Linked DNA regions of Oryctolagus cuniculus. The protein of the gene in region 2 purifies or fractionates together with the protein of the main gene of each other region. This does not show direct contact. Links are inferred from orthologs where the notes say so. Each region holds a gene or a part of one and is shown on either strand. Other genes may lie near its edges.

Region 1 (7,352 bases), on a different chromosome or scaffold from region 2:
AAGGCCTCACCTCCTCCAGGGTGCTAAGCGGGACCCCGGCAGCCACGGACACCAAGATGTGCTCCGTGGTGACCGCAGAGGCCAGCTCCGCCAGGACGCCAGGCAGGACGTGGGGCTTGGTGGCGAGGATGACGAGGGAACAGGTCTGCAGCACCTCCTGGTTCGAGTGGGTGGTCTGGCAGCCCAGAGCCTGCGTGGGGGACACCAGGACAAGAGCCGGGGCTGCGTGACCGGGGTGACCCCCTACGCCGCGGAAGGCTGCCTGCGTTCCCCCACGTGGCCACGGCCTGGCCTGCACGTGTCTGCACCAGCCCCGCCCACCACTGCAGCACACACGTGCACACCCCTGCACACCCCTGCTCAGGCCTCCAGGACCCTGCCCAACACTCTCAGCGTAGACACTCTCAGAACCTCAGCTCCAAAAGCCCCGCTCCCTGGCCCCGAGAAGCAGCTGAGGGACTGGGGTCGACAGGCGTCGCCCTGGGCCCCTGGGGGACCCCTCGTCTGTCGCTCCCCCTCTTCGTGGAGGAACGACACAGAACCCTGCGCTGTTCTTTCGTCTGCTCGGCCCTCCCCGGGTTTGCTGCTGGTTCTTCCCGGGTTGGCTACTATCCCTTCCACCTCCGTGGAAGGGCGGTTCCCCCTGCCACATTCCCCACTTCCGCAGGGGAGCGGCACACCGCCGGCCAGCTCTCTCGGGGGCTTCTCGGGGGCTGCTCAGGTGTTCCTCAGGTGTTCCCCTTAGATGTTCCTGGTGCATGTTGTCTCTCTCCTCCTTTATAGTCCTCTTCCACCAATCCCAACTCGGCTGCCCACACGCCGAGTACGCTGCTCTCCTCCAATCAGGAGCAAGTCCTACTGTTTATTGGTTGAACTGGAGGCAGCTGGGTAGAAGCTGTTTTCTCCTCTCCCAGCGCCATATTGTGGGAGAGCAGGTGCATAGAATAAGTCTTAATTCGAGTAACTTAGTCTAGTCCAGGTTGCTCCCCACAGATCCCCCTTTCTTTTTATTTTTTGGCGTTGATACGCGCCTGTCTTCGGTGCCCCGTGGCACACACTCTGCTCTGCTTGCTAGAGTTGCCACAGGTTCTTACAAGTCCTATCAATCAGGCAAACCGAATCCGGGTCCTCTCTTCGCCATGTTGTGAGGAGGTTTTTAGGCGCTGATGCGTGCCTGTGTTCGGTGCCCTGCAGCGCATGCTCTGCTCTGCCTGCAGGGGCTTACAAGCCCTAACAATCAGGCAAACCGAATCCAAGCCTTCTCATTGCTGTATTGTGGGGGAGACTTATTAGTGTTGGTTCGTGCCTATCTTCGGTGACCTGCAGCTCATACTCTGGTCGAGCTGCCTGCTGGTGCTTACCGCCTTACTAATCAGGCAGACCGAATCCAAGCTCTCTCATTGCTGTGTTGTGGGGAGGCCTTATTGATGTTAATTCGTGCCTGTCTTCGGTGACCTACGGCGCATAAGCTGCTAGCCGCCCGCAGGTGCTCATCGCCTCACTAATCAGGCAGACCGAATCCAAGCCTTCTCATTGCAGTATTGTGGGGAGGTCTTTCTATTTCTCTATTTCTCTATCTCCAGGCATTCCTATTTCTCCCATTTTACTTCTGTCTGCCAACATTCCTATTTCTCTCATTTTACTTCTAAACTTCTGTTTCTCTTATCCCCGCGGCTTCCCGGCGGCGCCCGCCCCGAGGCTGCTTCTCGGCACCTCGCCCCGCGGCAGCTTCACGGCTCTGCGCGGCTTCCCGGCGCCTCGCCCCACCGGCGGGTTCCCGGCTCTGCGCGCACGCTCCGCAGTCTCCACGCACTTCGCGCCTGCACCACGGCCTCACGCCAGCCCCGCGTTCCCTATCTATTCACGCCCCGTGCTCTCTCTGCACGCGGCGGCTTCCGCGAATGTTTCCGCCACCATCGGCATTCAGTCCAAGTTCCCCGGACTAACCTGGCGAATTCCAACCTGGCGGCCCACGTCTCTGCCTCTGGTTCCAGATTTTCGCCTCTTGCTCCCCGGGCTGACTTGAAGAATTCCAAGATGGCTTCCGTTTCCACCTTGGCCTGCACTTGCGGCTTCATCCTCCCTAACATTTTTCTCTACCCGGTATGTTTCCCTAAGTTTTCTTCCAACAATATTCCTCCCTCATTTCTCCTGGCCTCTCCCCACAGTCCGTATCCAAGTCTAAGTTTCTTATAGGTTTCACTTTCACTTTCAACCTGCAGTCCGTATCTGAGTCTAAGTTTCTTCTTGCTTTCACTTTAAATCCTAACTTCTTTCCCACAGTCCGTATCCGAGTCTATGCCTAGGCTTTCAATAGCTTCTTCTGGCACCTTTTTCGTCCGGCTTTTCCCTAGGCTGTTTGCTAGTCTCTCTCTCTGGCATTTTCCACTTCTTCCCGTTTCTTCCCTCTTAGGTATCCTATCCGTCCTAAGTTTCCTATCCGTCCTGGGTTTCCTATCCGAGTCACGGCACCACTATGTCGCTCCCCCTCTTCATGGAGGAACGACACTAAGCCCTGCCTAGGCTTCCTATCCGAGTCACGGCACCATTATGTCGCTCCCCCTCTTCGTGGAGGAACGACACAGAACCCTGCGCTGTTCTTTCGTCTGCTCGGCCCTCCCCGGGTTTGCTGCTGGTTCTTCCCGGGTTGGCTACTATCCCTTCCACCTCCGTGGAAGGGCGGTTCCCCCTGCCACATTCCCCACTTCCGCAGGGGAGCGGCACACCGCCGGCCAGCTCTCTCGGGGGCTTCTCGGGGGCTGCTCAGGTGTTCCTCAGGTGTTCCCCTTAGATGTTCCTGGTGCATGTTGTCTCTCTCCTCCTTTATAGTCCTCTTCCACCAATCCCAACTCGGCTGCCCACACGCCGAGTACGCTGCTCTCCTCCAATCAGGAGCAAGTCCTACTGTTTATTGGTTGAACTGGAGGCAGCTGGGTAGAAGCTGTTTTCTCCTCTCCCAGCGCCATATTGTGGGAGAGCAGGTGCATAGAATAAGTCTTAATTCGAGTAACTTAGTCTAGTCCAGGTTGCTCCCCACACTCGTCCACTCACCCGGAAGTGGCAGAGGTTCCTGTCTGTCGGTGCGCTGGCCATCACATGCTGCGCTTCCACCTTCCCTGGAGAGAATGGAGAAGGCAGAGGGGGCGGTGAGAGGGTGGGAGGAGTCTGCTCCCCCCGCCCCGCCCAGCCCTGGCCCCTAGAGACTGGGTGATGTCCCGCCCGCCTGGGGCGACACAGCAGGTGCACTGATTTCATGGGGCAGCCACCGCCCCCTGCCTGCTGCTGGACATAGGGGCCAGGAGCTTGGCCTGTCCAGTGAGCACACGGACCCCAGGGGCTTACTGGCCGGGGCAGTGGGGAGGGCAGCACAGTACGGTGGCCCAAAGGGAGCACCAGGCCAGGGAGTTGTCCTGGTTCTGAAGGCACCTGACCACAGAAGGCTCACTGGGGCCAAGCTTCCCTGGAAGGGGGTGGTGGTGCTGGGATGGCCACGTGGCAGGGAGCTGGGGAGACCGGGCTGAACAGGAAGACAGCCCATCAGCCCCTGGACACAGCCGGGCATCAGGGTGGCCGCTTGGGCTCAACATCTGTGACAGCGGCTCCCGGAGCCCGTGGAGCCGGGGAGGCAGGTGATCCCCGAGACCTGCTGGGCGCTCTCCCGGCTGCTCCCCACTCCTCTGCACCATGAGCTCTGGCTGACGAGGGCAGAAAGGCAAAGGTCGCCCCTCCCGGTGCCCGCGTGGCAGGTGCAGCTTTCCAAGCTCTGGGAGGGTGCGCGGGCGATGCCCCCTCCCCCCGCCCAGGAGACACCTGGCTGTCCGCATCTCCCGACAGACAGCCGCCGGGGATGCCCAACACCCTAGGGCCGCAGACGTCCACAGGACTGAGGGCGCACAGACGGAAAAACCAGCCTGGGGCTCAGGAGGGTGAACCTCACCCAGGCCGTGAGGCCAGGAAGCGGGCCACGCGGGCCAGCACCGTCTCCAGGAGCCGCCCACGTAACCGCACTTCCAAAAGCGGAGGAGACGGATGGAGCTAACCTAAGAGCGCTCTACGTGACAGCACGTCCAGGCACGGTGCGGAAGCGAGCCACGTCCTCGGCCTGCCTCTCCCCTCCTCTCCCCTCCCCTCCCTCCCCGCCCCTCTCCCCAGTCCTAGGTCTACAGAACCCGGGAGCGCCGCACTCCGCACGCCAGCCCGCGTGGCCGCGGACAGCCGGCTGTGCGCCCGGGAGCGCGGTCCGGAGGGGACCCGCGGGCGCCCTCCCGCCCCGAGCCCGCTACCTGCTCGGATGAGGCCCCGCGCGATGGCCTCCGCCATGCGGCCGGCGCCCACAAAGCCCACGCGCCGCGGAGCCGCCTCCGCCGCCATCGCCGCTGCCGGCACTGGGCCCGTCCCCCGCGGCTCATTGGCCGAGGTCGCCGGAGAGCCGCATCCACCCATTGGCTGAGCGCCGCGGGGGGCGGGGAGGGGCGGGGCGTCGCGGAGCAGGGCGCTCTCCGCCGCCGGTGGGTGGGTCCGGGCGACTGGGCTTCCAGGAAGGGCCACCCGCTCGGAGCTGGTGAAAGGCCCGCGCGCGCAGACCCGGGAGCCCCGAGCGCCCGCGTCAGCCGGCTCCCGGAGCCGGGGCCTCCCCGCTGCCCTGGGGCGCAGGAGCGCTGGGCGAGCCCGGGGCGGGCGTCTGCGTGCCTCAGCACATCTCGGGTTGTGGGGGTCTCACCCGCCACCCGGGCTGAGGCGGCGAAGGCGTTCTGTGGTCTCTGAGCCCCATGACGTCCGCCGCGCTCCGCACCGGCGAGCCCCACCCCCGCATCCCTTCCGAACCGCAAGGCAGCGGCCGGACGGGTGCACCTGTCCCTCACGCCGCGGTCCACTGGGCTGTGGCAACAGTCCCTCCGCAGCCAACACGCACGCACACGCACCCACGAAGAGGCACGCGTGTGCGCATGCACGCATCCACAGAGGCACACCCACACAGGCACTCCTGGGCGCACACACACCCATCCACGCAGAGGCTCGCGTGGGCACCAACACACGTGACATGCCAGTCTCACCAAGATTCGAGAGCAAACAATGCCGGGGAGGGAGCGATGGGGACTGGGAGGCTGCTCCGGTCACTGCAGCCGGAAGGTGCAGATGCTGGACAGCTGGGCCCACAGTGCTGGCCCTCCCTGCTGCTCTGGTCTGGCTCTGCGCCTCTCCCCGCGTTCACACCGACTCTCGGAGGTCGACAGCTAAGGGAGGTGGGCAGAAGCTCTGACAGCCGGGGTCACGCTCCTGGCAGGTGGGCAGCAGACCAGGCCCAGGGAGAGGGTCCCTGGGAACCAGCGTTTGAGTGGGGACGGGAGAGTGGGGCAGAGGCTGCAGTGACATGGCCGGGAGGGACAGCAGGACACTGGGACCCTCCAGGGCTGCAGCCCGAGCACCCAGTTAGAGGGCGATGGAAGCAGTGGGCTTGGTTTTCTAGGAGATGGGATGGGTGGGGCCACGGGCTGACCCCCCCAGGGAACTGTGGTCTGGATGCTTTGTGCCAGTGTGAGGTCGCCCTGCCCACCTGCAGCCGTCCCTGCTGCCCCCTCTGTCCCTGCTCTCCTGGCTTCCTGGGACTGCGATGCCCTGGGACAAGGACTGAGGGACACGGCAGGGACCTGTAGCACCCAGCCCCGTGTCACAGTGGAGGACAGGAGCCGGCTGCCTTCGGTGAAATGAAACAGATAAGGGCCACCAGTCACAGCTGTGGGGACAGGACCCAGTGGCCCAATGCCAGCCGCCCTGGCAGTGGGCAGCTCCGCTCCTGTCCCAGCCGTCCCTGGCAGTGAGCAGCTCCGCTCCTGTCCCCACCGCCCCTGGCTGTGGGCAGCTCCGCTCCTGTCCCAGCTGTCCCTGGCCGTGAGCAGCTCTGCTCCTGTCCCCGCTGCCTCTGTCCCCGCCGCCCCTGGCCGTGGGCAGCTCCGCTCCCGTCCCCGCCGCCCCTGGCCGTGGGCAGCTCCGCTCCCGTCCCCGCCGTCCCTGGCCGTGGGCAGCTCCGCTCCTGTCCCCGCCGCCCCTGGCCGTGGGCAGCTCCGCTCCTGTCCCAGCTGTCCCTGGCCGTGAGCAGCTCTGCTCCTGTCCCCGCTGCCTCTGTCCCCGCCGCCCCTGGCCGTGGGCAGCTCCGCTCCCGTCCCCGCCGCCCCTGGCCGTGGGCAGCCCCGCTCCCGTCCCCGCCGTCCCTGGCCGTGGGCAGCCCCGCTCCCGTCCTCGCCGTCCCTGGCCGTGGGCAGCCCCGCTCCCGTCCCAGCCGTCCCTGGCCGTGGGCAGCTCCGCTCCCGTCCCCGCCGCCCCTGGCCGTGGGCAGCTCCGCTCCCGTCCCAGCCGTCCCTGGCCGTGGGCAGCTCCGCTCCTGTCCCACACCATGTTGGCTGGAAGCCCATCAGCCACTTGTCACCTGCCAAGTGCATCCCTGGACCTCTGCTGGGCCCCTCCCACGGTTCCAGACCTGCCTGGCCCAAGGGGCATTCCCTGGACCCTCACATGGACAGGACCCGCACCCACAACCCAGGTCCTGGGCTTCAAGGCCCATGAGCCAGAGAAGCCAGCACCCCGGCGCAGCAGGACTGGTGGTGGGAGACGGCTGAGAGGCAGTCAGGGACGGCTTCCTGGAGGAAGAGCCACTTCAGGGGAAACCTGCAAGGTGGGGAGGCCTGGGGCAGGAACTCTGGCTTCCCAGAGGGAAAGGGGTGGTGACAGATGCTAGAGGCTCAGCTGGGCCCAGGGGTGCAGGCGCCCAGGTGTGGGCTCGGGGGTGCAGGCATCCAGGTGTGGGCTCGGGGGGTGCAGGCACCCAGGTGTGGGCTCGGGGGGTGCAGGCGCCCAGGTGTGGGCCTGGGAGTGCAGGCACCCAGGTGTGGGCTTGGGGGTGCGGGTACCCAAGTGTGAGCTCGGGGGTGCAGGCACCCAGGTGTGAGCTCGGGGGTGCAGGCACCCAGGTGTGGGCTCGGGGTGCAGGCACAGGTATGGGCTCGGGGGTACAGGCACAGGTGTGGGCTCAGGGGTGAAGGCACAGGTATGGGCTCGGGGGTACAGGCACAGGTGTGGGCTCGGGGGTGCGGGCACCCAGGTGTAGGCTCGGGGGTACAGGCACAGGTGTGGGCTTGGGAGTGCGGGCACCCAGGTGTAGGCTCGGGGGTGCGGGCACAGGTGTGGGCTCGGGGGTGCAGGCACAGGTGTGGGCTTGGGTGTGCGGGCACCCAGGTGTGGGCTCGGGGGTGCAGGCACAGCTGTGGGCTTTGGGGTGCAGGCACAGGTGTGGGCTCGGGGGTATAGGCACAGCTGTGGGCTTTGGGGTGCAGGTACCCATGTGTGGGCTTGGGGGT
Region 2 (7,154 bases):
ACACCACCACACGTCCACAAATAATGTCGATCGGTCTGGCTGCACATGCACACACACACACACACACAGGAAGGCTGTTTTGCATGTGTGCATGGGCACAGCAGGACAAGAGCTTCATGCCAGGGAAGGGTGTGGGCCCCCGGCCTCCAGCGCAGGCCGAGGGGATGTCTGAAGGTTGTCCTGTGTTCAGGTGAGTTGTAGAAATGTGGAATGTGGTTGGTATCACGCCTTCGGTGGCAGGTGGAGCAGCTCTGGCTGTGTCAAAGTGGAAGCAGCTCCCAGCTGTGCTGAGAGAGGTGGTGTGGGAAAAAAATGAATCCATCAAAGGGACTGCCCAGAAGCTGGGGAGGACGGGCATGATGGCACGTGCAACAGACACCTCTGTGTGTGTGTGTGCACACAATGAGCCCCAGCTTTGGCCTCTGGGCAAGCTAATTAAAGTGCTTCTGAGCGCCAGGCCAGGCCAGGCCAGGCTTTCTCGCTCCACTGCAGCCCCTTTTGTCTTTTTAGAACCACACAGATCTCCCCTTTCAAAGCAGCCCAGCCCACTCCCCTTGTCTCTGCAGGTTCTCAGAGCCCTGTCTACCCTGAGGCTTCCTGCAGCTCAGGTCAAGTTCACGGGGACCCTCTGCCCAGCAGAGCAGCCTCTGGGATGGGGCTGGTGGCCTGGGTGACCCGGGATCCCGCCTGGGGCCAACGCGACCTTGGTGCCCAAGATAGCTCAGTAACTGGCTCCCTTGATAACAGCCCCTCGTGGGTGACTTTCCAGGGGCCTGCAGTGGTCTCATGGCTCAACCTGGCTGCTCTTGGGGATAGGGACCCCAGACCTGCGCCGACCAGTGGGAGCCGCTAGCGACTGTGGCCCTGAGATGTTCCCTTTAAAGACATTTAAACTGAAGACAGCTGCTTGGGACACCCCTTGGCAGAGTGCTTACAGCCTTCTGCGCACCTGCACCCTAGGAGGTGCCTGGACATGTGGGAGACCCTGACAGAGCGCCTGGTTCTGGCCCAGCCTGGCCCAGCCCTGGCTGCTGCAGACCCTTGGGAATGAACCAGCAGATGGAAGCGCTCTCTGCCTTTCAGATAAAAACATCACCGCACAGACACATTTTGAAAAGTAATGCTTAAATAAGATACATGGGAGGTTCTCCAGAGCTACAGGTTCCCGGACTAAGTGACTACATTGTTTTACGTGTGTCAAGTTCACTTCCAAGCAGTGGCTACACTTCTGTAGCAAAGTAGCAACACATCCTTTTAAGCCCGTGGTAATTACTTGCCTTAGAAAAACCAGTTCCTTAAAAAAGTTACAAAGTCACAGCAGCGTCCCTAGCCAGGACCAGAAACCAGTCTTTCCCAGGGCGGGGCCGGCCAGCTGCAAATTTCCTTGTGCGTTTCGGCCAGGTCTGAGGAGAGGCACTGTGGGGAAGGGTCAAGGGCAGCCCCACAGCTCCCTTGGGCGGCAGTGACCAGCCCTGCCCTTGCCTGCCCTTGGCCTCAGACTTCACAACCCCAGTGTGAACCCAGCGCCCCTGGGAGGCTCTGGCTGTGTGCACTCAGGCAGGGCTTTATCTCGCCCCTGCAGGCACCCTCCCCCCTCCCGCTGGAACCTCCCACCCCCCGCACCCCCCCACCCGGTGCCCAGAACCAAACACGAGCCGAGGGCCGCTCCCGGGAGGTTTCTCATACAGTCTTTAATGCCATCACCCTGCACAGCGACAAGTCACACACACTTTGGTCTCATGTCGGCAGTGGCAACGTACAATGAGTCTCAAGGGGCTGAGCACCAGACGGGTGTCCCGGGAATAGACCCCGCCTCCGCCCGGGGCCATGGGGGCAGGGCAGGGCCCGTCTGGGGGCACCCCGGCCTGACGGGGAGTTATAAAAACATTTACAGGCTCCTGCAATCGGGAGCAAAGACCCTTTTATCAAAAGGGATTATAGCTATGTCTCTATACATCTCTCCAGGGTTGTGCAAAATTCCGAAGGATCAGATCCCTTTGAGAGAGAAACAAAACGAAACGAAACAAAACAAAGTCCAGAGTCCATGGAACAGAAAGGGCACCCGGAGCTGCCCAGAGCTCGCTCTCGGCAAAGCACGGCTGGGCCCCGTCTCCGTGAGCTCCCGGGCTCCCGTGGTCCCGCTGGAAAGAGGAAGGTATTGCTTGTGGGCGCCGGCCGGGCAGTTCTGCAGAGTCTAGCTTTCTCCACCTGAGATGGCCAGGATGAGCCGGGGGGTGGGGGTGGGGGGAGGCATGGAGCAGGGGAGACAAAGCACAGGACCCAGCTGCAGGTGCGGGGGGGGGGAGGTGTCTGGAGGAGCGTGGGGCGGGGCGGGCCTCGTCCTGCTCTGCCCACCACCTGCCGCTCCGCCGCCCGAAAAACCAGCACAGTCGAGTGCACGACTTTCAAAGATTGTAATATATTCTCTGGAAAACATAGAGCAGGATCAGGCTCCCGGGCCCTCCCGCCCTCTCACGGTCCACGAGTGCCGGGGTAGCCGGAGACGCTGAGCTCTGGCGAGGTCCCTGGGGCCGGCGGCGCCCGGATGATGCGGGGGCGGTGGGTGGGTGGGTGTGTGGGGGCGCTAGATGGGCAGAACCTGCTCCAGGACGGTTCTCGACGTCTGGGGGATCCTTTCGGGGAAGACCACCTCAAATTCGATGATGAGGTCCCCGCGCTTCTCCGGCGTCTTGGGGAGGGGCAGGCCTTCGCCCGGCACCTTCCGCCGCATGCCGGGCCTGATGACGTCTTTGAAGACAACGGGGATGCTGCGGCCGTCCAGAGTCGGCACGTTCACCGTGCAGCCGCACAGGGCCTGGGCGGGGGTGGGGGGGGGTAGGACAGCGGTCAGCCGCGAGAGCCTGGGGAGCCCCGCCCGCCCCCAGCGCACCCCCACGGCTCCCCACCCCCGCGGCCTCACCTCCCGCAGGCTGACGCGGGCCGGGTAGATGACGTCCGAGCCGTCTCTCTTGAAGATGTTGTGTGGCTTGTCCTTGAGCACGAACACGATGTCGGCGGGGATGTTGCTGGAGGTCTGGTCCCCCTCCTTGGGGAAGGTGATCTTGGTGCCCTCTTTCCAGCCCCGCTTCACCTCGATCGTCAGGATCTTGTCTTCGTTCCGGATGCTCTTGCCGTCGGGGTTCAGCCGCTTGTGGGAGATCTTCATCTTCTTGGTGCAGCCGCTGTAGATCTCTTCCAGGGAGACCCTGAGGTCGTGCGTGACGGGCGGGTCTTGCTTCTTGCGGGTGGGCTCCTGGGCCGGGCGCGAGCGGCCGAAGTTCATGTTGGTGAAGCCGCCCACGCCCATGGGGAAGCCGGCGAACGGGTCGTCGATGTCCATGCCCTCTTCCCCGTTCCGCTGCCCAAAGAACGTGTCAAAGGGGTTCCGGCCTCCGAAGAACTCGGCAAACATGGCGTGCGGGTCGCCATGGAACGTGTAGCTGAAGGACGTCCCGTTGGCCCCGCCGCCGCTGCCCCCGCAGGGGCCGCCGCCCTTCAGGCCTGCGAAGCAAAAACGCAGGGACGTGAGGGGGCGGGGCGGGATTGCTCTCAGCCCGCCGAGGGCCGGACCCCAAGCTTGCACCTGCCGCTGCAGACACTGGGGGCCTCGGCCCGCAGGTGACAGCCACCAAGGCCCGGCCCCTGCCTGCTCCCGGCTGATCCTCCCAAGAATCCACCAAGAGACCCAGACATGACCCGGGGTGGGGGAGAGGGGGGAAGAGCGGCGGCCACGTCCCCTGAGCCCAGAGAGAACGTGGGCAAATGCAGGCCAACCAAAGACACCCCGGAAGCTTTCTGAAGCTCTCCCGTCCCAGCACCAATCGCCGCTGCCCTGATGATCGGAAAAAAAAAAAACACACTCTACTGGCTCAGGACCGAGCCCGGAAGCCGGTGAGTCACCGACGGGCAGCTGGGCAGGCCGAGACCCGGCCGCCCCCCGCCGCGCCCCCCGCCCCGGCCCGCACCGGGTGCAGACCCAGGGAGGGGCCGCCCGGACGTGCTGGAAGCTTCTGCGCGAGCGGCGAGCCGGGGCTCCTCCTCCGCCCGCCGGGGGCCCTCTCAGCAGCCCCCCACCCCCGGCCGGCGGCGCGCGTGCCTCGGTTTCCCCGCGCGCCGCGGCCGCGCGCACGCACCCTCCTCCCCGTAGCGGTCGAAGATCTCGCGCTTGCGCGGGTCGCTCAGCACGTCGTAGGCCTCGGCGATCTCCTTGAACCGCTCCTCGGCGCCGGGCTCCTTGTTCTTGTCCGGGTGGTACCGCAGCGCCTGGCGGCGGTAGGCCCGCTTCACCTCCTCGTCCGACGCGCCGCGGGCCAGGCCCAGCGTCTGGTAGTAATCCTTGCCCATGGCGCCCGCCCGCGGCCCCGCCGTACCCGGCTCCGCCGCCGCCGCCCGGCCCGACTCTATATACCCGTCCGGCGGAAGCTTCCAGAGCCCGCCAGCCCCCTCCAGAACCTTCCGCCCCGCCCCCCGCGCCGCGCCGGCCAATCGCCGCGGCCTCGGCCCCGTGACGCCCCCATCCGGGGCGGGGCCGGGCTGCCAACGGCCGCCCGCGTGCGGCCACGCCCCTTCCCTCTCAGACCCCCCCCCCCCGCCTCTCCCGGCAACGCCTCCCCGCGGCGAGGGCACTGGGCAGGCGGAGGGCCCGCCCACCCCCTCGGGGAGAACCAATCACGACTTCCCGCTCACTGTCTTCTAGGATCTGGCAGGCTGCGAGCCCTGTCCGTTGCCGGGTCCACAGGTTACCGCAGCGGAACGCGGAGCTCCGGGAAGGGGCGGGGCGAGACAAAGCCCCGCCCCTCGAGGTGGCCCCGCCCCTGTTCCCAGCAGATATAAACCTGGCCTCCCGTCTCGCAGGCTGGGTCGTGCAAAGTTCGGCAGGCTTGGTGCTGTTTAGCACAAGTGCAAGAGTGGCACGCCCTCCTCAGCCAGCGGGGAGGGGACAGTGCGAGCCACGTCCACTCCCCTGGAGAGGGTCCTGCCCTTCCTGCCCCTGGTGTCACCCTTGCCGCTGAACTTGCCGATAAACTTGAAATTCCCTTTTCCTTGGCTTCCCTCCCTCCCAGCCTGGGCTGGCGACCAGGACCAGAACCGGGTTCTGCCTGTTCCTAAACAGTCCCGGTATTTGGCTCCTCAACAGACCTGGTTTCTGGCTTTAAAAATTTTTTTTTATTGATTTCATTTTATTTGAAAAGCACAGAGAGAGAGAGAGAGAGAGAGAGAGAGAGAGAACTTTCATTCAATGGTTCACTCCTTAAATGCCTGCGATAGCCAAGGTTGGGCCAAGCCAAAGCCTGGAGCCAGGGACTCCATCCAGGTCTCCCACGTGGTTGGCAGGGACCCAAGCATCACCTGTTGTGTCCCAGGATGCTCATTAGCACGGAACTGGAAGGGCAGCAGAGGAACCACGAGTGAGCCCAGACGCTCCCATGTGGGATGCAGGAGCTCTGGTTGGCATCTTTTTTTTTTTTTTTTTTTTTAAGATTTATGTATCTGGGGGCCAGCGTTGTGGTGCAGCGGGTTGAAGCCCTGGCCTGTGGCACCAGCACCCCATATGGGCACCGGTTCTAGTCCTGAATGCTCCTCTTCTGATCCCTCTCTCTGCTATGGCCTGGGAAAGCAGTGGAAGATGGCCCAAGTCCTTGGGCTCCTGCACTCATGTGGGAGACCTGGAAGAAGCTCTTGGCTCCTGGCTTTGGATCAGTGCAGCTCTGGCCATTGCAGCCATTTGGGGAGTGAATCAGCAGATGGAATATCTCTCCATTTCTACCTCTCTGTAACTGTCTTTCAAATAAATAAATAAATTTTTAAAAAAGATTCACCTATCTATTTCAAAGTCACGAATCATAGAGAGAGGGGGAGAGTCTGAGAGAGAGAAAGAGAGAGAGAGAGGTTTTCCATCTGCTGGTTCACTCCCCAGTTGGCCGCAACAGCTAGCACCAGGCCAGGCTGAAGCCAGGATCCAAGAGCTTCTTCTGGGTCTCCCTCCCACAAGGGTGCAGGGGCCCAAACACTTGGGCCATCTTCTACTGCTTTTCCCAGGCCACAGCAGAGAGCTGGATGGGGAGTGGAGCAGCCAAGACTCGAACGGGTGCTCACACGGGATGCCGGCACAGCGGCCAAGACCTGGCGGCATCTTAACGGCGGCACCCCAGTCCCCGCTGCTTTCACGTGGGTGCCTCTCTCAGCGGAGCAGGATTCACATGTGGGCCTCGCGATCTCTCTGGCTGTGGCTGATGGGGAGAAGGAGGCTCAGAGGGAGGACCAAGGCTGCCTGGGGTGTGGGGTCGGCAGCCGTGGCTCCTGTGTGCCTATGGGTAGAGGTGCATGGAGTCCGCGGTACGGGCGCTTTCTGTGTCTGGTCTTTACTGCACAGTGCGGGGAGCAGGTGCATCCACATCACGGGGCTCGGCAGCTTACCTGAGTCACATTGGTGAAATGCCCGGGGCAGGCCTGGCACTGAGGAAGTGACGTCAGAGTGATGACTGACAGACCCGTGCTGATCCACGGTGTGCTGCTATGAGGCACCCCCGGGCTCCTGGCAGGGCTGCCCTGGCACAGGCTGTGGCTACTGGGAAAGGGGGCGTGGCCTTCCCCTTCCCCATTGGATGGCTCTCCCTGCTCACTCACTGACCCCCAGGGCACCCAGTCCTGACCATGACAGGCACTGGCCAACTTAGGAGGACAGGAGTGGGGTGGGGGCGCCCCCTAGCCCAGCAAAGAAATAGGGGTCTTGGGGCCAGCGCTGTGGCGCAGAGGATCAATGCCCTGGCCTGCAGTGCTGGCATCGCATAGGGGCGCCCGTTCTAGTCCGCGGCTGCTCCACTTCCGATCCAGCTCTTTGCTGTGGCCTGGGAAAGTGGTAGAAGATGGCCCAAGTCCTTGGGCCCCTGAACCCATGTGGGAGACCTGGAAGAAGCTCCTGGTTCCTGGCTTCAGATCAGTGCAGCTCCGGCCGTTGTGTGGAGACCTCAGCCCCCCAAGGGCTCATGACTCGGGAAGGGGCCGCGATGATTAGTTCTGCGTGTCAGCTTGGCTATGCTCCAGAACCCAGGCTGTCCAGTGAAACACGAGCCTTAGTGTGGCACTGAAGGCGTAGGGTAGACAAGGTTAGGGGGATGTCGCCATCAGCTCACGGTGAGGACAAATGACCTCTC
Region 3 (7,140 bases), on a different chromosome or scaffold from region 2:
AAAAGGAAGGAAAATGGCAAATGCCCATATGAGAGAAATGACTTCTGAAACAAGTTCTTCAAGTCACAGCACAGTCCTGTTCTGCTTCAATATTCCTGTTACTGTTATGGGAAAACGGTGGTGGAGAACATACCTGGGTTCTTTGTCTCACATGGAAGAATATTTTCTAAGTGGGTAAGCAGAGAGATTTAAAGATTTATTAGAGTCAAAGACCACCATCCAGAGCAGCATGGAGGGGGGCTCCCAAGAAAGGAAAAACCCCCAAAGCACCCTGTGGCACTGGGGTTTTTAAGTATAATTTTGGGATGAAACTGTCAATCAATAAGGTGGGGGACAACCCCAACACAGGACCTTATTTACAATTCTTCATCCTGCCTGGCTTGTTCACAATAAAACAACCATCACAAGGGTGCGATATCTAATTTGTTTTCACAATAAACTGGAGCTCTGAAGGGTAGAGTCACCACTCCCTTGCTATTTTCGTGATAAGATTGGAAGCTCCCAAGGAGTGGGCAGGCAGACACTTCTGACCTTGCTAAGGATAACTTTCTGGGGGGAACATTTTCCACCCTCAGTTTCCAGACTGCCTATTAAACCATTTGACTCTTCACATTATCAGAAGAATGCTACAACAATCACTTAATATTTTAAGCAATGCAAAACTTGGAAGGATTTTCCTAATGATTACCAAAACGATAAATTACATTCACTATCAAAATACTCTCCTGTAAAAAAGGGACGGGTGTTTTTAGTGTTAAGGCACTAAGTCAGGAATGACAACAGCCTTGCGCAAGCCACTTAATTCCCCTGGACCTCTGTGTTCTTACATTTCTAAAACCGATAACATGGGCCCTCTTTCTACCTCAAAGGGTTTTTGTGAGTTTCAAATGACAGCTTGGAGGCAAAGTGTTCTTTGAAATTACAGGCTGTTTTTACCATAATAACTATGAAGCCATCTGCCCTGGAATGCTAGTACCACCTCACAAGGAAACTGAAGCAGATGAATTATCCATATAACCCCCGACCCGGGACTTCATTTCCTGTGGCACGATAAGCACAGAAAATGGCAGACAGGAGGAGGGAGGCAGCCATTACATGATCAGTTTTGGGAAATATGTGAGCAGCCCATCTCCCAGTCCTATCATTTTGCTCTCTGACAGTCTCCAAAACCCATTCCTCAAATATTTTCCTTACCATTCTGAGCCTTCTGGGGTCTACCCGGTATCTGGCAGATCCCGGGTGTTTAATATTTACTGAACTAAAGGCTACTTGAAAATGCATTTTCCTGTCAGTAAAATCATATCATTTCTACATTTAAAATTATGATGTATTTAAGAGAATTAAGGCATGAAGTCTTAGAGCCTTGCGAGCCAGACTTCCTGTGTTCAGATTTAAAGCACACTACTCTCTGGTGGTATGACCTTGGATGAGTCTTTAGTTTCTAAGCCTCAGTTTCTCATCTGTAGAGTGCAGATTACAGTAATTTCCACACAGATATGGAGCCTGACATGTAAGCTGTATTATTTATAAATGATAAATGTCTAAAAAGATAATTAGCAGAGTAGCTTGAGCTATTGACAAATGTAAAATTATATTCCATTCAGAAATCATGAAAACCAGGAGAGAAAGGAACTGCCTCTTTGGGGACGCAATCTGGAGACAAAATGCAGTCAAAAAAGCAAGGCTTGTGTAACAATCAAGTATCAGAAACAAACTGAAGAAGACTGCCAAACATTTTACAGCATTTTAAGCATCAGGAAGGCCAAATATTCCAGGTCATCAAGCACTGGGTATAATCCTGTTTTTGGTTTCAGAGGGAAGAAGTTTCCTTCCCAAACATCAAACTAGCATTAGAGAACAGTACATGCATACTTCTAAGTACAAGCTAAAATGCCTCACTCTACTAACATAACTACTTTATTAGTGTTACTTAATATGACCTCAAACGATGAGAATAAATTATATATGAATTTCATGTTTGAAAACTCGACCTCCCTCTAGGCACGATTCTAGTTTTCACTGGTACAATGCTCTGCACATTGCCTGCATGGTATCATCCAAACTTCAGTTAGGATCAGCAGTAGCATTTTTCTCTATTTTTGCGAACCTTCTGAAACACTTGTTTAGTTTTCAGTATTACTCTTTTTAAAAGGAAGAAACAAAACTCTAGAATTATTCGAGAAGCCCTTGAAATGAACAATTAACACACATATTAATCAGACTTTCCTCCTTCAGCCCAAGTGGTAATTAAGCAACTTGTAATTTAATCACTTATGTGCAGTAATCAGAATTCATTTGACATTCACCAAATATCAGAAATACAGTAATACCCCAAATCAGAGGCCTTGTTTTAGAAGAGGAGCACTTGACTGCTTTTGTGCCTACCACATGTGAGGACAATGACTCAGCTTGTCATTGGAAGGAAGGAAGGAAGGAAGGAGGGGGAACATGCTCCTCATTCCTATAAGAGAAAACCTGTTCTCTCTGACTGGGGGAGAGAGGCTAGTAGAGAACGCCTGGAGAGAAGTCTAAGGTACTTACTAAGCTGCTACACAAAAGAAATCCCATTCCTTAGAGGGGCTTGGAGTAGCTGAGGCCACTGTAGTTTCACTCCACTTTCTCTGGGTGTTGAACCCAGGTTTGCTGATTCTGTGGCAATCCATAAGGAAGCATTGCTTCTCTCTTCAACTTGTCGCACCCTAAGTGAACCCCAGTACCTGGCTTAGGGCCCAGGTGGCTCTGTTGCCATCCCTGGAATTGTGAGTGGAGAATTTCACACTTTCTGGCGATTTCCTCCCAGTAGTAATAGCGAATCTTTTTTTACTAGCAGACACTGTGGTTACTGGTATCTTTTCTGGGCAAACAGACACTTCTTCATGTTTTGCTATATTAATGGAGGGAGAGAAGGACACACAATACAGCACTGTTTACACTTTGGGGCTTCCACACTCCTTTGCGCCTTCAGAGCTTGGCAGAAACTACTGAACCAAATCCTATGTACAGTGTCAGGGGGCTATGCGTGTCTCAAGATTTTCACCTAACTATACCTGCACACAACCACAACGCAGACACTAACTTCAGACACAAATGTTCATAGATAGTACATATACGTTTTTATACACTGTTAAAGGAAAAAGCCATTTCCAAAACTTATTACTACTTAGACATTCTATACAAGCCTATCACTATCTTACTTACTTAAAACTGTCATCAAGGGAAAAAGGAAAAACTGTTGACTATCTTTTCATGCTTTCGGGCCAGTGACTAGCACTTTTAAGGTCTCAGCAGCATCTTTTATGTAAGGTAATAAATATTAAGAAAATAAATACTGGAACACAGTATGTGGGCTTAGGAGAGCAAAGGCAGCCATAATGTCTTTAATCCACGAGGTACAGGACCCAGTTACTGTTCCTCCTACAGCCCCTCCCTTGGCCTACTGCTCTACAATTTTTGCTCTTAGATGCATTCCTGGGGTCCCCCCCCTTTCTGCTCTGAAGTGCTTTGGAACAAGAAAACTTCACGGGGGGTGGGGTGGGGTGGGGAGAACACTTTAATCTTTTTCCCTTAACTCGCAACCTTGGGGGGGGGGGGCTTAAAGATCTTTGGGACCCCAGAGAAGGTTCTGGAAATAATCTCCATTACCATCACCCTAACTTTTATCTTCTCTGGGTATTCGCTAAAACACACAGGTGTGTTCACGTGTCCATCAATAACGTGCTCACAGGTTAGCTGGGACGGAACGCGTTTTCTCTCAGCGAGGAGAGGAAAACCTGCCAGGACACAAAACCGCACCGCCTCCATCCACACCACCCCAACAAGCAACTTCTCTCGCCGCCGCTTGCCCCAGGCGGGGCCTCCGCCCGCCGGCCGCCCACGCGGCGAGCAGGACGCCCGAGCCCGCCGCGTGCCCCTCGCCGGCCCGCCGGCCGCTCACCTGAGCTCGAGCTGGTCCAGACTCTCCAGCAGGCGGCTGGAGCGGTCGGCCATGGAGGAGGAGCGGCAGAAGCGCCCCTCGTTGGCTTTGGCGTTAATCTTCGCCTGAGCCATCTGAGCCTCTGAGGCGGGGCGGCCGAGAGGTCACCGGCCTCTCCCGCGGTGGCGAGTGGAGCGCTCCCGGGCCGCAGGCGTCGCCGTCACCGCGCGGGGCGCCCGCCTCTCTCTGACGCCCGCGGGGGCGGCTCGCGAGGACGCGCCGACTCCGCCGCGGCTGCGTGGCCAAAGAAGGGCAGGCGCGGCGCGCGCGGGCTGGGGGTGGCGGGGCCTGGAGGGGGCTAGCTGGCCGCAAAAGCTCGAGGGTGGGCCTCAGGAGCTAAGGCCTCCGAGACTCTGGGATGGGAGGACCCAAAAAGGGGAGCACCTAACGTAGTCGGCTGCTCTCTGCTCCTGGAACAACCCGAAATCGGCGCGGAGACCCAGCGAACACCCAAGCCCCGACTCTTGGTGCAGCATAAAAGTAGCCAACTCCCCCTATGCGGAGTTACCATACCACACGGTGGGCAGGCTGTGGGTGCATGGCTCACCGATGGTTTCGTTTACTTCCTTTCAGCACCCAGAATTCAAAGCAAGAACGAAAAAACATTCAGGTTTCTGCCGACAGGGAGAAAAGGTCCCTTTGCAAAGCAGAAGACATAGAAGGACACCGCCTCCTCGGCAGTCTGTACTTGACCAAGTCACTTTTCTGAGAATAACAGCCTGGACCACACTGACGCTACTGAGAAAGAATGAAGCAGCTATCCCGTCTTTGCCTGTCTAGCTCCAGATGCGAAGCAAAGTGAATTTAATTCCCACACATTCCAAGAAAGGGAATTTCACTTTTATGCCTACAAAAATTTTTTCTGGTATTTTAAATAGTTGGTAATGGTCACTTCACACCCAACGTATTAAATCTGTTAACGACAACAACAAAAATCCAGTAAATATCAGTAAAAGATGGAGCAGGGCCGCTGTATTTAAAATATTGTGCTTTGCTCCGCTCTCAGGATAGCTCACGTTACAAGAATGTTCGTATTGCAAGTATGAAAACTGAAGGCATGGAAATGGTAATAACAGCTTTGAAGCTGAATCACAACCTTTCATCAGTGACCATCACCACTTAAATACTTTAGCAGAGAGGGAACTCTTAAGCCTGGATCCCAATTCCATCTGTACTCATTCTAAATACTAGTAAGCTTTTGGTATAGGGTGTTATTTGACCGATCTCATTAAACATATTTTTGCCAAACATTAAACTCGATATCCCAACACATTTTGTGAATGGCTTGATGTCTCTCAAGAGACTTTAGATTCACCTTGGACTTTCTCTCATGTCCTAGATCCAGTCCATCAGTAATCACATGAATGCTACCTTCACAGTATGTCCAAGATTCTTCCCTCAGCTCCATTTCCACTAGGTCCACGTAACCTGGTCAACTTGCACCTGGATCATTGAGCGTCCCTCTTTGGTTCATACTTCCACTCTTGCTTCTCATGTGTATTCTCAACTGCAATAATCCTAATTAAGGTGGATGACAGCACTTACTCTCAGAAACCTTCAGTAGATCCTCAGATCAGCATAAAAGCCAAGGTCCTTAGAAAAGCCTCAAAGTTGATCATTACTCTCCTAGCCCATGCTGCTTCAGACCTACTAGCCTTCTTGCTTTTCCCTGAGTATACCAAGCACCCTTCGAGAACTTCTCATTCACTTGGAACTTTTCTCAACCACAGATACTTCTTTTTTTCCCTAAGATTTTATTTTGAAAGAGAGAGAGAATGAATCTTCCATCCACTGGTTCACTTCCCAGACGGTCATTAACAGCCAGGCCTGGGCCAGGCTGATGCCAGGAGTTTCATCCAAGTCAGCTGTGGGTGGCAGGGGCCCAAACACTTGGGCCATCTTCTGCTGTTTTTGCAGGCCATTAGCAGGGAGCTGAATCAGAAGTGGAGCAGCTGGGACACAAATCAGCACCCATAAGGCATGCTGGTGTCAAAAGCAGTGGCTTTAACCACTATGCCACAACACCAGCCCCTTCAATACTTCTTGACTTATAATGGGTTAGTCATAATTGTATTCATAATTTTAAAATATTCTAAGTCAAAGACACTTTTTTTTAAAGATTTATTTTATTTGAAAGACACAGAGAGAGAGGTAGAGACAGAGAGGTCCTCCATCTGCTGGCTCACTCCCCAGATGGCCGCAACTGCCGGAGCTGCGCGGGTCTGAAGCCAGAAGCCAGGAGCTTCCTCCAGGCCTCCCACATGGGTGCAGGGGCCCAAGGACTTGGGCCATTTTCTACTGCTTTCCCAGGCCACAGCAGAGAGCTGGATTGGAAGAGGAGCAGCTGGGACTAGAACCAGCACCCATATGAGATGCCGGTGCTTCAGGCCAGGGCTTTAACCCGCTGCACCAAAGCGCCAGCCCCATCAAAAACACATTTGATATGTTTAATCTATCTAACATAGCTTAGCAACAGCACACTGTAGTGTTTAAGTTGCTTATTCTTGGTAGCTTACCAAGAACTGAGGCTTTCTGCCACTCCCCAGTATCTCAAGAGAATATAGTTCCACATCACTAATGAGCAAAAAGATCAAAATTCAGGATTCAAAGTATGGTTTCTGTTTCCTCACACTATTGTGAAGTCAAAAATTCACGTCAAACTTTTGTTAAATTGGGGACCAATGTATTTGCAAAGCTTATCCCCGTGCCTTCTTCAGGTCACTGTGCATGTTCAATGTTCAACTGAGCTGTTTTCTGACCACCCTTTTAAAAAAAACAAGTCCCAGGGCCAGTGCTATGGCACCAGCATCCTTATAGGGGCCGATTCATACCACGCTGTTCCTCTTCCAATCCAGCTCTCTGCTTTGCCCTGGGAAAGCAGATGACCCAAGTGGTTGGGCCCCTGTACCCACGTAGGAAACCCCGGAAAAAGCTCCTGGCTTTGGATCAGCCTAGCCCCAGCCATATGACCATTTGGGGAATGAACCAGCGCATGGAAGACCTTTCTGTCTATAACTCTACCTCTCAAATAAAATCTTTAAAAAAAAAAAAAAATTACAAGTCCCCTTAACCCCTCCATCTCTGAACTATTCCATTCCTTCTGTATTTTCCTTTATTACACTTATCACCATATTTGCTATTTTATTGACTTTATTTATATTCTAACA
Region 4 (7,403 bases), on a different chromosome or scaffold from region 2:
TTTCCAGAACCATGTCCCAGAGTTTCTTCCTCTTTCTATAAAAAGGTCAATTTCTGTGTCAGACCACAGCCCCGCCCCCAGCTGTTGGCAAGGGGACAGAGACCCACTCACTGCCACCAGCTGCAGCAAGGAGCCCACCCGCCACGCTCCGCCGGCCTGGCACTACAGGGACCCTCCCACGTCACACACGTCAGGTGACGACGGGCGGGGCCAGAGGGAACACACCAGACTCAGCCTCTCTCCACTACAAACATGAAGCCGAGATTTATTGCGTGGATCACCAAGGGCGCTAATCGGTACCAACGGTCCCGTGGTTAACAGGGGCGGGGACCCAGCGCACCGCGATCGGCCACTCCTCCCCAGGGAAAACACCGGCGTGGTACAAGCTTTGCAGACAAAATGAACACAGACCCCCGAAACCAGATAAAAACCAGCGACGTAAAACAAGCGCGAAAAGCTAACACACCCCGGGCGTACAGGCGTCGGCTCGGGCACACGGCGGCTCCCACGGGCTCGGGCGCCACAGGCCCCGTGCGTGAGGGCTGGTTGTGGGCAGCAGCCGTGGCACAGACAGGCTCGGAAGGGACGCAGTCCGTGCTGGACGGCCACTCAGGGCCGACGCGGACCGCTCCAGTGCGCCGGCCGCACGGCCGCAGAAACCAGACGTCAGCTGTCAGAGCGTCGGGCGCTGAGGGGAGAGGCTGACGCTAACGTGCCCACAGCGCCGGGCCAGATGAGCACTCCAGGGACTGCGCTGAGCACCGGCAGGCGCCAGGGCTCCAGCCCCAGCACACAGGGTCTGCGTGTGCAGCAGGAGGGGCCGCACCTCTGGGGCCGACCTCAGCTCCTCGCAGGCACTTAAGCCTATTCCTCTACCTCTCACCTCCTGCCCGGCTGCCGACTCGGGGCACCGTGCCCTCGTCAGGGCCGCTCCGGGAAAGGCACTGCCAGGGCACGGGCACACGCGGTCCTCGGGAAGTGCGGACAGGGCCGCCCTGCCGCGTGCCGGGCGCAGCCTCTCCCTGCCGGCGGTGGGCTCGGAGCGGCCCCGGGCAGCAGACGCCGCCTCCTGTGACCGGCCCGGGGTTCTCATCCTCCTGGCACCGGGCCCTCGGGTGCAGATCCACAGCAAACCCAGCCGAGGGCGTCTGACAGCCGGCGCTCCGCTCCCCTCTCCGAGGCTGCTGGGTGTCTTCATGATCACGCGGCACACAGAGGGTTAACTTCTCAGAGACAGAGACCGGAGCAGGACACACCCACCCCCGGGCTGGGCGGGGCCTCAGCGCAAACCCGGGGTGGGGGGTGGGGGGGTCTGTGCCCCACTGCACTGTGGAACCAAAACTTCCCCCTTCTCATAATTCTTCCAGTATTCCGTGAAGTCATGCCCAGTTTACGCTTAAATTTGCGTATTAATACGTGCACACCCCCACTTACAATCACAAGAACTACATCTACTTCCCTTTCTGATGGAAAGCGGGGAACACCAGCCACAGACCTCGCGCCCGCCCGGGAGGGAGGGAGGGGACGAAGGGGCCGTCCTGTAATGACAGCTGCTTAGCGACATCAAAAGCAGCAGGTACTGAATATAATTTCATCAAGTTACAAATACTGAGACTGAAATATGCAAGTACAAACCACAGCCCGGCTGGGGAGCGGGCGCGCCACGAGATGTGGAGGTCTCACGCAGTGCAAAACACGCCGGGCCGCCGCGCGGGCTCCGCACCCGCCGCTCAGTGCTCCCACTCGCGGGCGCCCACTCGCGGGCTCAGTGCCCCACTCGCGCCGGTGCCCCACTCGCAGCCAGTGCCCCACTCGCAGCCAGTGCCCCCTCGCGGCCGGTGCCCACTCGCGGCCGGTGCCCCCTCGCGGCCGGTGCCCACTCGCGGTCAGTACTCCCACTCGTCCGACTTGAGGTCCAGGTAGCTGAGGATGTTTTGCGCCAGCTTCACGGCCTGCTTGCGCGCGGCCTTGCACTTCTCCTCGCCCTGCGGGTCGACCGCGTCCAGGGCCAGCAGCTGCTTGGTGAGCAGCTCCTCCAGCCGGATGTAGTTCTTGTCGCTGCGATTGCCGTCGAAGGACAGGACCTCCCCCTGGATCTCCGACAGGTTCCCCAGGACGCTCCAGACGGCCTGGTGGGACGGGTGCTCGGCGCCCACGCTCTGCTTCCTCTTCTCCAGCGCCTCCTTCAGGTCCACGTAGGTGACCAGCGTCTGCACCTCGATCACCGCCCGTCTGCGCGCCTCCCGGATGCAGGGGTTCTTCTCCAGGCTCACCTCGTCCAGCTGCCCGATGAGGCCCTGCAGCTCCGTCTTGGAGCTCAGGTACAGCTCGGCCGGGCTCTGCGCGCGCAGAAGCTCGGCCCTGACCTCCCGCGTCCTGGCGCGCACCTTCTCTATCTCGAGGATGGACTGGTTCTGGCCCAGGTCGAAGGCGCGGGTCGTGTCCGCCTCCTCCTCCAGCTCCAGGTACTTGAGCAGCTTGTGGATGTCCTCCACCACCTCCCTCCGGTAGTTCCTGATGTCCGGGTGCCCGGCCACGTCCAGCGCGTCCAGGTCGGCCAGCAGCCCCGAGAGCACGCAGGACAGGTGCCGGCAGGTCTCGTCGGCGCACACGCCCATCAGCAGCGCGACCACCGTGCCGCGGGCCTTGCTCACCGTGCACATCACGGCGTTGATCCTGGCGACGCACGGGTGCGCGTCCTCGGACAGCGGCAGCGACGGCTGCTTCCGCAGGCAGTCCTCCAGGATCTCCTGCACGGCGCACACCCTGCTCAGCGCGCGGTAGCGGGCTTTGCGCAGCGAGACCTTGCCGCCGGTCTTGACGTGCGTCAGCCGCAGCACGATGTCCTGCAGGCGCTCCTCCACCTCGTCCGCGGCGCAGCCTCCCCCGCTGTGCAAGGGCGCGATCTCGTCCTGCGCCAGCGCCTGCGCCTCGCGGAACAGGTTCCGGATCTCCAGGCGGCGCGGGTGGCTGGCGTTCTGCTCCAGCTCCTTGAGCAGCCGCTCCGTCTCCTGCGCCGCCCGCTTCCGCGCCTGCTGGACGTCCCCCCTGCCCTCGGTGTCCACGGAGTCGATCTCGAACAGCTGCCGCGTGAGCATGCGCTCCAGCCTCCGGTAGGCCTTGTCGTCCGCCAGCCCGCTGAAGCCCAGCACCTGCGGCTCCACGGCCTTCACCTCCCGCTGGATCTCCTGCAGCCTGCTGATGGCCGGGTGCTGGTTTCCCATGTCCATGCTCCGCTGCCTGGGCTCACGAGCGCTGCGGGGCGACAAGAGAGCTCATTCAGAGCGGCCGCCGGCAGGTCCGCGGACCCCGGCCGGCAGGCCCAGGGCCAGCCCGAGGGGCCGCCCGGCCCGCGGCACAGAACAGCCCGCAGGGCACGCCCGGGCCAGCAGAATGCGGGACAGGCCCCGCGACGGGGCCCCAAGCTCCGCCGGGGCTCCCCGCCCGGGACAGCGCCCACTCTGCCTGCACTGCCTCCCACGAGGGCCCGCGGGCGCCGCCGCGGGCCCGGGCCTCCCTCCCTCTCGCACTTTACCCGGCGGAGGTCCCGGCTCCCCGGAGGCGCGGCGGCGAGGTGGAAGATCAGCCCTTCACCGGGTGCGGCGGCGGGGCCGGGCCCCTAACGGCATCCCCTTCAGCCCCCCGGCTCGGTCTGGACGGGGCGGCCGGTGAAGGGGCCGGCGGCGGCGGCAGCTACTGGCCGCAGCGGCCGCTCCGGGCGTCTCGGCCCCGGGCCCCCGGCTCGCCGCCGGCCCTGACCTCACAATGGGCGCGCGGGGGAGGCCGAGGCCCGGGCGCCCCGCGAGGACGGGCGGGAGGGGCGCGGAGCGGGGCCCAGCCCGGCGGGGAACCCGGCCAGGCGCGGCCGCGTGGGAGCCCGTGGGGGGGAGCAGGGTGGCCCGGCGGAGCCCCGCGCCGGCGCGCGCGCGGAGAGAGCAGACGCGATCGCCGGCGCCCCCGCACCACTCACCCGCGCCATCACGCGCTCCGCTGCCGCCCACGACTTCCGCAGAGCCCGCGGCGCCCCCGTCCGGGGCCGACCACCCCCAAGCCCTGGGAAAAGACGGCTCCGCGCCCGCGCCTCACCTCGAGCCGCGCCCCGGGCCTCTGGGACGACAGGGATCGGGGAACTGTCGCCGGCGTTCGCCCGCGCTGCCCGGTCCCGGCAGGCCTCCTCCGCGCCGCCCCGTCCCCACAGACCCCCTCCGCGAGCCGTGTCACCGCGGGAAAAGCGCGCGGTCGGCCCCTCCGCGGCGCGCCCGCCGGCTTTGCGACCCTGCCGTAAGGCAGCCCCGCTCGCCGTCGCGAACGCCGCCGGGTGCCGCGGGAGCAAGGTGGGCGCGGCCCCATGGCGGCGGTGCGGCGGGCGCCGCGGACCCTCGTCCCGCCCCTCTGCCGGGCCTTCGCGGGCGGCGGCGGGCGGCGGGCCCCGGAGCGCGGTGCGGAGCGCAGGGAAGCAGCGCCGAGCGGGGTAAGCGCGCTGCCGGGGCTGCCGGGCCGCCCCCGGTCTGGCGCCCACCGCCGCGGTGCACGGACCTGGTGTTTGCCCGAGGGCGAGTTCCAGAAGCGCCCGGAGGGGCTCGGCGAGTGGCTGCGGCCGCGGCGTGCGGCCGGCCGTGCTTGTCCTCAGGCGCTGGCGGGCCGGGGCGGTGAGGCCGGCGCGGAGCCGGGCCGGGCAGTGGTTACGGAGCGAGGAGAGGGGCGGTGAGGCCGGCGCGGAGCCGGGCCGGGCAGTGGTTACGGAGCGACGAGAGGGGCGGTGAGGCCGGCGCGGAGCCGGGCCCGGCAGTGGTTACGGAGCGACGAGAGGGGCGGTGAGGCCGGCGCGGAGCCGGGCCCGGCAGTGGTTACGGAGCGACGAGAGGGAGCCCGCTGGCCGTTGCGACACTTTGGGCCTGCGGGTTTTCGTGCGGCCGCCGCCCCGACTTCCGCTCCCACGCGCGCACACCCACCAGGCTCGCGGGTGTCTGGGGAGGATTCAGCCTCTGAAAGGCGCTGGCGGGGGCAGCCGTGTAGCAACGAGAGGGTTGCGCGGGGTGCGGCGTTTCCGCGGCCGGTTTGGGCGCCGGTGCCAGCGCCGCAACAGGTCCCGCAGGCTGCTTGCTGGAGAACCGGACCCGCGCAGGGGCTGTGCGGGCCGTGTGGTCAGGTCCTGTGCGGGCCGTGTGGTCAGGGGCTGTGCGGGCTGTGTGGTCAGGTCCTGTGCGGGCCGTGTGGTCAGGGGCTGTGCAGGGCCGTGTGGTCCGGGGCCGTCTGGGACTGTGTGGTCCAGTGGCGTGCAGGGCCGTGTGGTCAGGGGCTGTGCGGGCCGTGTGGTCCGGTCTGTGCGGGCCGTGTGGTCAGGGGCTGTGTGGGGCTGTGTGGTCCGGTCTGTGCGGGCCGTGTGGTCAGGGGCTGTGCGGGGCTGTGTGGTCCGGTCTGTGCGGGCCGTGTGGTCAGGGGCTGTGCGGGGCTGTGTGGTCCGGTCTGTGCGGGCCGTGTGGTCAGGGGCTGTGCGGGCCCGTGTGGTCAGGGGCTGTGCGGGCCGTGTGGTCAGGGGCTGTGCGGGCCCGTGTGATCCAGTGGCGTGCAGGGCCGTGTGGTCCGGTGCTGTGCAGGGCCGTGTGGTCCAGGGCCGTCTGGGGCTGTGTGGTCCGGGGCCGTCTGGGGCTGTGTGGTCTGGTCCTGTGCGGGTCGTGTGGTCGTGTCCTGTGCGGGCCCGCGTGGTCCAGTGGCGTGCAGGGCCCGCGTGGTCCAGTGGCGTGCAGGGCCGTGTGGTCCAGGGCCGTCTGGGGCCGTGTGGTCCGGTGCTCTCCGGAAGAGGCAGGGCAGAGCCGGAGCCGCTTGGCCGCGTCCAGCATTGTGACCCCCGCCGTGTGCTCGGGGTCCGAGTGTCCGTGCTGCCGGGTGTTGGAGGGAGCTGGGGAGCCGCTGTTGCCCAGGGCAGTCGTGTGTGCTGGGCCTGCTGCGGGCGCCCCAGGTCGGGTGTTCCCGAGGGCGCCTTCCAGGGTGAGTACGTCTCTCCTATGTGTCCACATCTCTCCCACGTGTCCACGTCTCTCCCACGTGTCCACGTCTCCCCCACGTGTCCACGTCTCCCCCACGTGTCCACGTCTCTCCCACGTGTCCACGTCTCCCTCGTGTCCGTCTCTCCCTCGTGTCCACATCTCTCCCTCGTGTCCGCGTCTCCCACGTGTCTGTCTCTCCCTCGTGTCCGCGTCTCTCCCTCGTGTCCACGTCTCTCCCACGTGTCCACGTCTCTCCCTCGTGTCCACGTCTCCCCCACGTGTCCACGTCTCTCCCACGTGTCCACGTCTCCCTCGTGTCCGTCTCTCCCTCGTGTCCACATCTCTCCCTCGTGTCCGCGTCTCCCACGTGTCCGCGTCTCCCTCGTGTCCGCATCTCTCCCTCGTGTCCGCGTCTCTCCCTCGTGTCCGCGTCTCTCCCTCGTGTCCACGTCTCTCCCACGTGTCCACGTCTCTCCCTCGTGTCCGCGTCTCTCCCTCGTGTCCATGTCTCCCTCGTATCCGTCTCTCCCTCGTGTCCGCATCTCTCCCTCGTGTCCGCATCTCTCCCTCGTATCCGTCTCTCCCTCGTGTCCATGTCTCCCTCGTATCCGTCTCTCCCTCGTGTCCGCGTCTCTCTGGTGTCCGTGTCTCTCCTTCGTTCTCTGTTCCGCCCCTGAGTCCGTCCCGCGCGCTGCATTCCCTCTCTGGCCCCTGGCTCCTAACAGAAGCACTGCAGAACTCCTGTCAGGCGTCGCTCTCACCCCAGCCCAGCGAAACCTCAGCTGCCCAGTGTCCCCGCACCCTGCCCCTCCCAGACCGCGTCCTGGGTGGTGTGCGCCGGGGGTCTCGTAGCTTACCTGCAGGATCTTTAAGGCATGCATACATTATTTATTTGAAAGGCAGTTAGAGACAGAGAGAGAGAGATCTGCTGCTGGTCACTGCCCAGACAGCTGCTGTGGTCAGGGCTGGGCCAGGGTGAACCCAGGAGCCAGGAGCTCCACCTGGGTCTCCATGCGCGTGGCAGGGGCCCAAGGGCTGGGCCGTCCTCTGCTGCTTCCCCAGGAGCGTTAGCAGGGGCTGGATGGGAAGTGGAGCAGCCAGGACTTGAACCTGTGCCGGTACGGGGTGCTGGCACCTGTTACGCCGCGACAGCGGCCCCTCTTGTGCTTTTTGACCGTGAACTGTGTTGCTGAAGCAGCGGTGGAGTCGTGTGTGGTGGTGCTGGTGCTTCCTGCACAGGCTCGCCCCGTGGCCCCGTGGACACCGCCACGCACAGGTCCCGCCCGGTGGGGCCACGTGGCGCCGCGTGCGTCCCCGCTGCCTGCAGTGGTGCTGGTGCCAGGGCTGGTGTTGTGATGCCACCAGATCAGCGTCCCCTGCCACAGTGCCGCTCTGAGACCCGGCCGCTCTGCCTCC

What was found.
Region 1: the proteins of DNAJB1 (region 2) and PYCR3 purify together in Homo sapiens (affinity purification with mass spectrometry; 3 studies listed by BioGRID and IntAct, with this or other methods). This does not show direct contact. The link is inferred for Oryctolagus cuniculus from reciprocal best matches to the Homo sapiens genes DNAJB1 and PYCR3.
Region 3: the proteins of DNAJB1 (region 2) and BAG2 purify together in Homo sapiens (affinity purification with mass spectrometry; 4 studies listed by BioGRID and IntAct, with this or other methods). This does not show direct contact. The link is inferred for Oryctolagus cuniculus from reciprocal best matches to the Homo sapiens genes DNAJB1 and BAG2.
Region 4: the proteins of DNAJB1 (region 2) and BAG5 purify together in Homo sapiens (affinity purification with mass spectrometry; 3 studies listed by BioGRID and IntAct, with this or other methods). This does not show direct contact. The link is inferred for Oryctolagus cuniculus from reciprocal best matches to the Homo sapiens genes DNAJB1 and BAG5.

The regions. Positions count from the first base shown.
Region 1 is NC_091437.1:167,532,795-167,540,146, forward strand, and holds the start of PYCR3 (pyrroline-5-carboxylate reductase 3), read right to left. Parts: upstream 4,445-7,352; 5' UTR 4,444-4,444; coding exon 4,284-4,443; intron 3,117-4,283; coding exon 3,052-3,116; intron 191-3,051; coding exon 11-190; intron 1-10.
Region 2 is NC_091447.1:63,135,375-63,142,528, forward strand, and holds DNAJB1 (dnaJ homolog subfamily B member 1), read right to left. Parts: upstream 4,453-7,154; 5' UTR 4,345-4,452; coding exon 4,134-4,344; intron 3,502-4,133; coding exon 2,921-3,501; intron 2,816-2,920; coding exon 2,585-2,815; 3' UTR 1,672-2,584; downstream 1-1,671. UniProt on the Homo sapiens protein: Interacts with HSP70 and can stimulate its ATPase activity. Stimulates the association between HSC70 and HIP. Negatively regulates heat shock-induced HSF1 transcriptional activity during the attenuation and recovery phase period of the heat shock response.
Region 3 is NC_091436.1:112,403,494-112,410,633, forward strand, and holds the start of BAG2 (BAG family molecular chaperone regulator 2), read right to left. Parts: upstream 4,210-7,140; 5' UTR 4,048-4,209; coding exon 3,935-4,047; intron 1-3,934. UniProt on the Homo sapiens protein: Co-chaperone for HSP70 and HSC70 chaperone proteins. Acts as a nucleotide-exchange factor (NEF) promoting the release of ADP from the HSP70 and HSC70 proteins thereby triggering client/substrate protein release.
Region 4 is NC_091451.1:46,386,220-46,393,622, forward strand, and holds BAG5 (BAG family molecular chaperone regulator 5), read right to left. Parts: upstream 4,673-7,403; 5' UTR 4,537-4,672; intron 4,472-4,536; coding exon of another isoform or gene 4,349-4,471; exon of another isoform or gene 4,280-4,348; intron 4,248-4,279; exon of another isoform or gene 3,971-4,247; intron 3,678-3,970; exon of another isoform or gene 3,536-3,677; intron 3,256-3,535; 5' UTR 3,231-3,255; coding exon 1,887-3,230; 3' UTR 1,747-1,886; downstream 1-1,746. UniProt on the Homo sapiens protein: Co-chaperone for HSP/HSP70 proteins. It functions as a nucleotide-exchange factor promoting the release of ADP from HSP70, thereby activating HSP70-mediated protein refolding.